Ovis aries: one gene and its partners. Each later gene encodes a partner of the first gene's protein in a complex. Links are inferred from orthologs where the notes say so. Each region holds a gene or a part of one and is shown on either strand. Other genes may lie near its edges. The genes, in order: VDAC1, SPG7 and PPIF.

The links.
Region 2: VDAC1 (region 1) and SPG7 share a complex: the UniProt entries of both Homo sapiens proteins name them as parts of the mitochondrial permeability transition pore complex. The link is inferred for Ovis aries from reciprocal best matches to the Homo sapiens genes VDAC1 and SPG7.
Region 3: VDAC1 (region 1) and PPIF share a complex: the UniProt entries of both Homo sapiens proteins name them as parts of the mitochondrial permeability transition pore complex. The link is inferred for Ovis aries from reciprocal best matches to the Homo sapiens genes VDAC1 and PPIF.

Annotation. Positions count from the first base shown.
Region 1 is NC_056058.1:43,312,598-43,316,248, forward strand, and holds part of VDAC1 (voltage-dependent anion-selective channel protein 1), read right to left. Parts: intron 3,328-3,651; exon of another isoform or gene 3,325-3,327; 5' UTR 3,322-3,324; coding exon 3,255-3,321; intron 2,717-3,254; coding exon 2,667-2,716; intron 1,764-2,666; coding exon 1,611-1,763; intron 1,516-1,610; coding exon 1,463-1,515; intron 1-1,462. UniProt on the Homo sapiens protein: Non-selective voltage-gated ion channel that mediates the transport of anions and cations through the mitochondrion outer membrane and plasma membrane.
Region 2 is NC_056067.1:14,010,110-14,014,388, forward strand, and holds the start of SPG7 (paraplegin), read left to right. Parts: upstream 1-1,351; 5' UTR 1,352-1,380; coding exon 1,381-1,563; intron 1,564-4,255; coding exon 4,256-4,279. UniProt on the Homo sapiens protein: Catalytic component of the m-AAA protease, a protease that plays a key role in proteostasis of inner mitochondrial membrane proteins, and which is essential for axonal and neuron development.
Region 3 is NC_056078.1:34,158,254-34,160,642, reverse strand, and holds part of PPIF (peptidyl-prolyl cis-trans isomerase F, mitochondrial), read right to left. Parts: intron 1,561-2,389; coding exon 1,464-1,560; intron 930-1,463; coding exon 854-929; intron 1-853. UniProt on the Homo sapiens protein: PPIase that catalyzes the cis-trans isomerization of proline imidic peptide bonds in oligopeptides and may therefore assist protein folding. Involved in regulation of the mitochondrial permeability transition pore (mPTP).

The DNA of each region.
Region 1 (3,651 bases):
GCAAGTAAAGAATATAAGAGGATTCTGTACACTATTTGTGCAGCATTTTTATATATGTTAAGTATAAAAATAGTTAAATTTCCAAATAAAAAAACTTTTTGGTTATGTATATATTACTGCAAGTCCTAGAGTCGTCTCTGCAAACTCCCCAAAGGCAGTGAGCAAACCCTTTACAAATTCCAAAGTGTGCCACCTCAGGGCAGCAAGCAAAGTCCTAAACAGCAAATTCAAGCATGTGGGCACATCCTCCAGCCCTTGTGCTATCAGTGTCTTTCTGGATAACTTCTCCCATCACGGTGCCTGGGGGGAAGCAGACAAGCAGGAAGGCCATGCTCCTACAGGAGAAACTACAGCAGAGATGAGAACAAGGTAAATTCAGCTCCTGGCCAATAATCTTCAGACCATCCATAATCAAGTTATAAAAAGACTATAATCTAGAGGCAGGATCCCAATGTGCCCAGTCCTTGTGGTCACCCTGCACAGGGTCTGAACTCGGGAGCGTCTCCCTCTAATAAATATTCATTGGAAGAAGAAAAAGGAAGGAGAGAGAGAAGAAAATAACATCAAATGGCAAAAAATGGAATTCAGAATGCCACTGAACCACGCACCTAAAAGATAGTTGAGGAAGTAAATTTTATGTGCATTTTACCATAATTTTAAAACTAAATAAGAAATGAAATTCAATACATGCCCTTGAGGCTTATCATCAGTCTGCAAAACAACCTTCTCAGACCTAAAGGACCCAACTGCTGAGTAGAAAAAAACAAGAGTGTGTTCTGGAAGAGAACAACTCCCTCAGTCACTGTGAAAAGCTCCAGGAGCTGAGGCAGACCAACACATCCTCTTGCCTCCCGTGCTGTGCTGTGCTTCGTCACTAAATCATGTCCGACTCTTTGCAATCTCATGGACTGCAGCCCACCAGGCTTCTCTGTCCATGATATTCTCCAGACGAGAATACTGGAATAGGCTGCCATTTTCCTCCTGCAGAGGATCTTCCTGACCCAGGGATCAAACCTGCATCTTCTGTGTCTCGTGCACTGCAGCACTGATGGCTCATTACCTTCCCTGATGGAAGACCGAGGTCCTCAATAACCAGCAAGCCTAATCTGCCTGTGGCTGGAGGGCCTGAAGCAGAAATGTGCAGCCTCAGGAGCCACCTTGCAATTAAAGCCCACACACTCTCAGTGTCCCTAAGTAGGAAGCTGGGGAAAGGGCTCTCCAGCCTGAAAAAAATAAGGCTAGCAACAGCAACCCATTAGCCCCTGCTTCCAAACACCGCCCTACAGCCTTGGCCACTTAACATTACCAGCAGCCTCACTCACAAGGAATGGAGCATCACTGGACCAGAAATCCTGCAGCCTCCTCAGCTGAGGCCAGTAAAACAATAACAAACAGCACAGAATGAACCTCACCATAAAACACTGCTAAGTGTCCTTAAGGAGAAAACAGATGAAATTCTTACCCAGTGTTTGGTGAGAAGGATGAATCGAAGGTCAGCTTCAGGCCACGTGCAAGCTGAACAGAAAAGAAATTCACCAACAGGGTTAGTCACAAGACAGGCCAGCAGACGTCACTTGGTAAAACTGCCTCTTTCCACAGATGACCATTACCTGATCTTCCACAGTAATCTCTGTGCCTAGTGTGTTGTCAGTGTTCCATTTCTCTGTAAACGTCAGGCCATATTCAGTCCATCTGTACTTGGTTTCCAGGCTGCCCGTCACTTTGGTGGTCTCGGTGTTGGCTGAACCTGAGCTCGTAAATTCCTTTAAAGAAGACAGTCACAGCCTGCATGCCAGCACTTCATTCTGCATCACTCCACCCCTAAATGGACTGCACTTTCCTTTATGCAAAAGGTGAGACCCTGAACGTCTGGGTGCAAAAGCTCCATCTATAATTCAATTAGATATTTAAAGTGTCAAAAAGGCTTCCCCGGTGGCTCAGTGGTAAAGAATCCGCCTGCCAATATAGGAGATGCGAATTCTATCCCTGGGTTGGAAAGATTCCCTGGAGAAGGAAATGGCAACCTATTCTGGTATTCTTGCCTAGGAAATTCCAAGGACAGAGGAGCTTGGTGGGCTACAGTCCATGGGGTCGCAAAGAGTTGGACACGACTTTGCAACTAAACAACTATTTAAAGATGGAATCCGCTAACTAAAGGAATCTTACGGAGAATTCTATATCAAGAGACAGCTTCCTTCCTCCCCTGCAACTCTTCAGTCTGGACAGGAAGGCATCATGTCCTCTTTCCATCCTGTCTCCAGGCTCACACAGAGAAAAGGCTTTGAGCTAAAGCAGACATTGCAGTAATTCTACCCAAAACTTCTTCCTTCCAACAATTACTACATGCACAATCTAAAAGATACTACTAATTTTTTTATTAAATAATCATGTGGTATGGAACACAGGTCAATATTTGAAATAAGATACATAAGGAAAAATAAATCGGAGGCCTGCCTCATATTCCTATGAGTATTAATAGGTGGTGAATTGGGGACCTAGTGGCTTGGTTCCCCTGGACCACCCATTCCACAGAAGAGGCAATAAATGTGACAACCACAAGTTGCCACAATCAGAAAAGTCCCTTTGCTTGCCACTCAGATGGAAGTTATTTATTATTTACTGATCTACAATAAATATCCATACTCCGTGTGGGCCAGACAACTTACCAATCCATTCTCGGATTTTGTTTTCAGATCAAGTTTTATTAAGCCAAATCCTAAAGAAAGAACATGGTCACTGTTAATAGGTTAAATAACTCAAGAGCAGCATCTCTGCCTCCCTTAGGAAATCTTAAAAATGCCATGAGTGCAGAGGGCACCAGTCTCCACTGCTGCCTGCCTCTGTGGGTGGAGCTTGGTTGCCATGGAGACTGGTTGCCACGGAACAGTGGCAGAGGGAACAGGCACAGCCCCACCTGCAGCCCCAGCGGAGTCTGAGAAAAAGGTGTGTGACAGCATGAGCACCAGCCTAAGGAAAAGCTAAATTTAGAAGCCGCAGTCCACCGCAGCGGCACCCAGACCTGCTCCCGCCTGGGAGAGGAAACAAGAAGGTCCACTAGTCTGAGCAATTCGCTCGCCGACCTGAACTGGGTACGCAACCAAAACTGCCTGACTAGCCATAGAAGGCTTATCTCTTTCCCCTGACATGAAGGTTCTAAGAGCTGACTGACCCAGCTCTCTCCAACTGTGACGGGCAGAATACCAAACAAGCGGACCCAGTCTCTGAGCTGAAGGGCCACTCCATGCAACACTCACCATAGCCCTTGGTGAAGACATCCCTGGCAGATTTGCCAAGATCTGCATACGTGGGAGGCACAGCCATCTTCTGCTATAATAAAAGAATCACCATAATAAACACTCTGGAAATTACAGATATTCATTTTCCACCAATAAAAATCATCAGCACTGACTTCCAGGTACCTTTTTCCCCCACGTGTGGACAAAGATACCTGTGCAGTCTCCTGCTGCTTCTGCGGCCAGAGGTGGAAACACCCAGTAGGTTTTTATTGACAGCAGACCAGTCTGACTTTAGAGACCTCTTCTCTTAGGTATCCCCAGGATTAAGCACAGGCCCAGAATATGGCAGGAGTCAGTCAGTATTTGCTAAATGAATTGATTGTCAAAGACACACTCCCATGAGCCAGCTACTTTA
Region 2 (4,279 bases), on another chromosome or scaffold:
AAAGGGAAGCAGTCCAGATGTGCAGGTCAGGGTCAGCCCCTCGCCACACACAAGAACCTGGCTGCTGGAGCCGAGGACCAATAATCAAAACTCTGCATTTAAAACAATGTCCCTAAACCTTCTGAGCTTCAGGACTTTTACATCATACATGTTACTGCTGTAACACACAAAGCCATAGGGTGGAGAGCATAGGCCCTGAAACCAGTCAGACCAGCTCTGAAACTCTGTGCATCAGTTCTTAGCTGTGACCTCGGAGAAGTCACTTTAAAGTGCCGAGTCTGTTTCCTTATCTGTAAAACAGATGTAAAAGTATCTACTTCTCACATTTGTGAGGATTAAAAGAATGCCTGCTACAGAGCCAAGCCCCAGCTAGCACTCAGTAAGAACGGTTATTGCCTAATGACCTTAGGAATTTGGGGAATACAGAAAAACACAGAAACAAACTTAAGTCACCGTACAGTCAGCAGTCTCAGGGCTAAGTACTCTAAGCACTCCAGCACCAGACCTAAGGGAGCCTGGGGTCCGCCAGGGATAAAACCACAGACTCCTCCCCTTCTCCCAGGGATGGAGTGAGTGGACTACAGTCTCCTAGGCCATGATCCTGGTCTCCAGAGCTAGGCATGACTTCCAGAGGGGGTCGGCCTGTCTTCAGGAGAAAAGAATAGTGGAGGCGACGGTTACCTCTTCAAAATTAAGCATCTGTAGGACAAGACTGCCGGCCGCTCACGCCTGGGAGCTGGCTCAGCTACCCTGAAGTACTTGCTCTTACCCTAAGCCCTTTCCTTTTCCTCTCGGTATACAGGGCCCTTGGGGCACCAGCGGGGCAGGCTCTGCAGCTAGAGCCCGGGAGAGCGAAACTCTCCCCTCCGCAGCATTCTCCTCGCGCCAAGACTGTCAGGGGTCAGGGGCCCGGGTCTAGGTGGGAGTCGGACTCAGAGTCTGGATCTGAGGCTGGAGTTGGGGGTCAGGATTCGGGCCCGAAGTCGGGGTCAGGGCCTCAGGCGGGCCCCACCATCTACGCACGTCTGCTCCCTTCGGGCTCCCGGGCTCCCTCCGCAGCCCCTGGACCCGCTGGGCCAAGTCCTCCCGGGAGCCGCGACCTAGCGCGGCGTCTGATGCCCCGACTCGGGGCCCACCAGGCTGCAGTTCTACTCGCAGCGCTTGTACTCGCAGTACAAAGTGGCAGTTCAAACCCGCCAAAGAATCCCAGTGGGATTAGAGTTGCAGCGGATCGCTCGGTCACGGAACCCGATCGCGGAGTAGCAAGGCTTGACAGGCCTCACTGGAAGAGGCCCGACCGCGCAGGCGCCCCGCGGAGACACCCCACCCCCCGACCCCCGCCTCCCTCCCCAGTAGCGCAGGCGCAGCTTCCGGGTCAACATGGCGGCCGCGCGGCTGCTGCTGCGCGCTCTCCGCCCGGGGCCGGGACCGGGGCCGGGGAGGCTGCGGTGCCCCTACTCGGGCTGGAACCCAGGCTGCTCCTCCGGGGCCAAGTGGAGGTGGCCGTATGTCGTCCACAGGCCTCCGATGGGCCTCGTCGGGCCTGGTGGCCGAGCCCTGCAGGTAATGTACGGGCCTCCGGCAGCGGCGTTTGGAATGGTAATGTGGAAGATGCTCTCCGCCGCTTCGGCTTCGTCTTCCGAGAGGCAGCTCCTACCTGCAACCCGGAGGAGAGGCGGGCGGCGAGGCCGGCGGGCAGCCCGAGGGAGAAACCGGGAGCGAGGCCGCACAGTTGGACTTCTCTAGCACTTGTTTCGTTCTTCCCTGGTGGCTCAGTGGTAAAGAACCAGCCTGCCAATGCAGGATGGTACCCTGGGTGGGTAAGATCTCTGGAGAAGGAACTGGCAACCCACTGTAGTATTCTTGCCTGGGAAATCCCATGGACAGAAGAGCCTGACGGGGTCGCATGGGGTCGCAAAAGAGTCACAAGGATTTAGCGACTAAACAACAGCACTTGTTTCGTACATTGATATTTTTTGCCCGTTTTCTTGGTGTTTTGAAATTGAATCGACTAAGAGTTTCACTGATATCTAGCAGAGGATTATTTGCAGTCATATAGATCAGATCACTCCAGGATGAATTCTAGTGCCTTCCAATTGCTCTGAGCGGTTTTTCATGTGAGCACTGTAACTGTATTTTATTCTTATCATGTAGCTTGACATGTTATGGACACAAATTCACTGACCCTCTGTGTGAAGGCTGTGTTCCAGGCCCTGTTAATGTTAACATTTCACTCTGGAAGCAGACCCTAAATGCTTTTTTCACTGATTTTTTTAGCCCTCTCTTAGGACCCCAACCCTCGCATTTTAGGTTGTAATGTATTATTGTATTTTACCATAAGTTGAGAACCAATTTCATATCATAATCCTATTCTACACCCTTTCTGAGTCTGAGGACAACTATAGATCATGGCATCCGGTTCCATCACTTCATGGCAATAGATGGGGAAACAGTGGCAGATTTTATTTTGGGGGGGGGCCTCCAAAATCACTGCAGATGATGACTGCAGCCATGAAATTAAAAGACGCTTACTCTTTGGAAGAAAAGTTATGACCAACCTAGACAGCATTTTAAAAAGCAGAGATATTACTTTGCCAACGAAGGTCCATCTAATCAAGGGTATGGTTTTTCCAGTAGTGATGTTTGGATGTGAGAGTTGGATTATAAAGAAAGCTGAGTGTGGAAGAATTGATGCTTTTGAACTGTGGTGTTGGAGAAGACTCTTGAGAGTCCCTTGGACCGCAAGGGGATCCAACCAGTCCATCCTAAAAGGAATCAGTCTTGATATTCATTGGAAGGACTGATGCTGAAGCTGAACTCCAATACTTGGGCCACCTGATACAAAGAACTGACTCATTGGAAAAGACCCTGATGCTGGGCAAGACTGCAGACAGGAAGAGAAGGGGATGACAGAGAATGAAATGGTTGGATGGCATCACTGACTCAATGGACATAAGTTTGAGTAAACTTTGGGAGTTGGTGATGGACAGGGAGGCCTGGCGTGCTGCAGTCCATGGTGTGGCAGAGTCAGACACGACTGAGCGACTGAACTGAACTGAAAGGATAGATTACACTTGTTTTTGTTTTAAGTTCTATTGAGAAGGAAAATCATAATTCATTAATTCTAGTCAGACTTGATTATTCTGTGAAAATAAATAAGGACTGAAGTAGGCAATTCACACATACTTGGTGGATACGTAACAGATTATCTCACTAACAACTAGAACAGTAATAACATAATCTGGTTTAAACAAACAGCGTTTAGGGTTGACTTTGAAGAATGACTTTTGTGTGTGCTGTGCCTGACACACTGTTCCACGTTTATAGTGCCCAGTCTACCTCTCTGTGGTTCTCCCTTATATGCCTCCTGGCCATCACTGAACCAAGTATAGTAGTATTAATTAAACTGGATAATAATTGTATGTACTAGGAATTTTTAACCTGTTGCTAAAAGGAAATTATATGTAGCATACTCCTTTGGTAAGGAGTTACTTTTCTTCATAATAGCAGCCAACCAGGGGTGAACTAAGGGAAAGAACTTAAATGTATGTATATTAAGTGTGTTAGTCACTCAGTCATGTCCCAGTCTTTGGGACCTCATGGACTATGGTCCGCTAGACTCCTCTGCCCCTGGAATTCTCTAGGCAAGAATACTGGAATGGGTAGCCATTCCCTTCTCCTGGAAATCTTCCTGAGCCAGCAATCAAACCCTGGTCTCCTGAATTGTGGCCAGACTCTTTGCCATCTGAGCCACCAGGGAAGCCCTTAAAATAAATAAGTCGATAAAAATGGAGAAATTGCTACCACTGAGATAGAAAAAATTAGGTTGGACCATTGACCATAACATAAAATACACTCAAGTGGGAAACTGGACTTCATGGGAATGTTCCACAAGGAACGGTTGTCTGGAGATGTTGGGAGCAAAAGTTCTGGACAGCCAGTGAAGCCTTTGCTGCTTGTGTCCTGCAGGAGTCCTGGGGCACAGAATAGCAGCCAGTGTTCCGCACCTCCATTTCAGCGTTTCTTTGACTTGCTTTCTTGCTGTTGACATTTGGAACTTTTTTTTTTCTTTTGATGTTATGGTAAAACTTTGAAATAATGGTCAGATTGTTGGTTCATATTTCAGTGCAGTGTAAATATTACATAAATGAATCTTGGCGCTTTTAGGAAAAATTTTGTATCGGGTGAGTTTGCACTGCCAGTTGTGCTGTGGCGTCCGTGTGATTGAGGCTCTGTGACCTTCTTTTCTCTTCAGAGTTTCCAGTTGCGACTGCTAACC
Region 3 (2,389 bases), on another chromosome or scaffold:
AGAGTCCCGAGAATCTAGAAGGCAGCTCAGTTCAGGGCCACCAACCAAGACGGGTTACACTTGGGGTTCCACCAGGGGTTTTCACAGAAGGAGGGCAGGCAGGGCCAGCAACAACCTGCCCACTCCAACATCCGTGTCCCTTCTGGCTCAGAGGCTACAGACCACTAGTATCCGCCACCTCCTGGGTCTCCCTAAAGTCCTTGGAAATGGGCTTTATTAAGTTTTAGCTCCAGGCCAGCTGTTGTCCCCTCACCCCGCTGAGATGCCTCAGGGTGAGGACATAGGGGACTCTGGGAAGCGAAAACTGATTAGGTAGTGGGAAACTGACCTGGGAAGACATCCCTAAAATACAAGGGCAATGGGAAAGAGGGTTCCAGCAGGGCTGGTGGCTGCAACAGGCTGGTGCTAATGCCTGATGAGAAATCCGGTATGATATCCAAATGTTGTCTACTGCAGCATTTTCCAAGGTGCAGCCCAAAGTTAAATAAGCTGGGAAACGGCAGGTTAAACCGAGTGAGCAAGCTTCTGCCACAAGCCATCCCGAGGCCTGATAAGTTCTGCAGCATCTCCCCAATGTATTTGGTAAGAGAATTCTTTCCTGTGTGTACGTGTGCATGCTCAGAACACTGAGAAATTCCAGCTACAGCAACAATGGGAAGCCTGATAAAAGACAAGAGTTGCAAAATAACCCAAATTCTTCCTCAATGCTTTTGGGGCCTTTCTCCTCTTACACACTCAGCCGGGTGAGGGCTACTGCCCCAGAGCAGAGAGTTTGGCCTCAAACTATCCTCCCGCTCCAGCTCAAGGCCACCCCTGCTACCCTGAGGGCCTGGACCAGGAGCTGGCAACTCACCAGTCTGTCTTTATGGTGCAAATGAAGAACTGGGAGCCGTTGGTGTTGGGGCCTGCATTGGCCATGGACAGAACACCTGCGAAAACAAGCGGGATGAGCAGGCTGCCCCAGGAGGCATCTCACCTGGGAACTGTTCAAGAGCAGATGATGCACACCACAGGAAGGATGCTTGCGGCTGAAGATACTTGGGGCTCAGAAAAGGAGAGCCAAGCCCAGAGCACACAGCCACCCAGGGCCTGTCCGCCTTGATGACACAGGAGGGAAGGGCCTCCTGGAGGCTCTCAGTGGTAGAGCAGGGGCAGGACCTCCAGCCCTGAACTCTAGCTTTTTCCACATTTCACGTTGGGTCCTAAAGGTAACATAAAGCTAGGGCTTTGCTTAACGGCTCTCAGAGCATGGTGGTCAAAGAAAGATTTGTTTTTGAAACTGAGAGCTCAGGATGAAAAAGCCTCTGGGACAATCCAGTAAGCCCACCCATCACCCTGAAGGAGGGAGGATGTGTCCCTAGATGTGGAGCCATCCGGTTGCAGCCTGCAGGCCTGCTGGGGTGGCAGCGCCAGGCTCACAGCTCAGGGCACATGCCCAGGTGGGGACTGACAGCCTTACTCACCCGGCCCCTCGTGCTTCAGCTTGAAGTTCTCGTCAGGAAAGCGGCTTCCATAGATGGACTTTCCCCCCGTGCCGTTGTGGTTGGTGAAGTCACCAGCCTGCGAACACGGAGCGCTAGCTGAGTGTCGCCACTAGAGCTGGCAGAGGGGTGCTATTCCCATGCTGGGACACAGCGCCCAGCCCCCCAGGGCCTACCCAGCTGGGAGCCCTCAGCCAAAGGGGTCAGAAAACACCCAGTGATAGAAGGGCTAATATAATGCTAAGGAACGTAAGCAACAACAAAATAAAGGTTTAATACTTTCTGCCCCAATAACTACCCTGGTTTCCGAATGATTCATTTTTGTCTGAGTGAGATTTTAAATGATCCTTAAAAATTCTCAGCCATTTCGAGCTGCTTCTTAAGAGACCTAGAATTTTCTACCCACAACTCTTGAAGGGTAAACAAGGAGGAGGCCAGGAGTCCCTGCTCCCCAGTGTGGTCTGCGGGTAGCTGGCACAGAGGCAGGTCCCTCTGCTGAGCCCCAGTTCCTGTCCCAGCATCTCCCTTTCACCCGGCCTAGGACAAAGTCCACCCAGGGCTGGTGGTCTTCCTCACGGCTTGCCCAAGGCTTCCACAAGGAGCCACAGACAGAAGAGCCCAGGGTCTGCCAGCCCCAGGCCCCAGCCCCCATCATATTGCTCTTTTCCTGAGATGACCTCCTCGGGTAACAGGGATGACCTGACTAGCCCTGCTTTTGAAGCATCCACAAATGCCAATAAGGTGTCCCCAGAGAGGACCAGGCCTCCCCGTGCCTGGTCCCACCATCCCATGCCTCCAAGAGCCCACCAGCTTTGGAGTCCCTGCCCTTGCCTACTGTGGTAAGAGTAAGATCCTAGCCCAGCTTGGACATCCGCTTCGGCTTCTGCTCAATCTACAGCCTCAGGCAG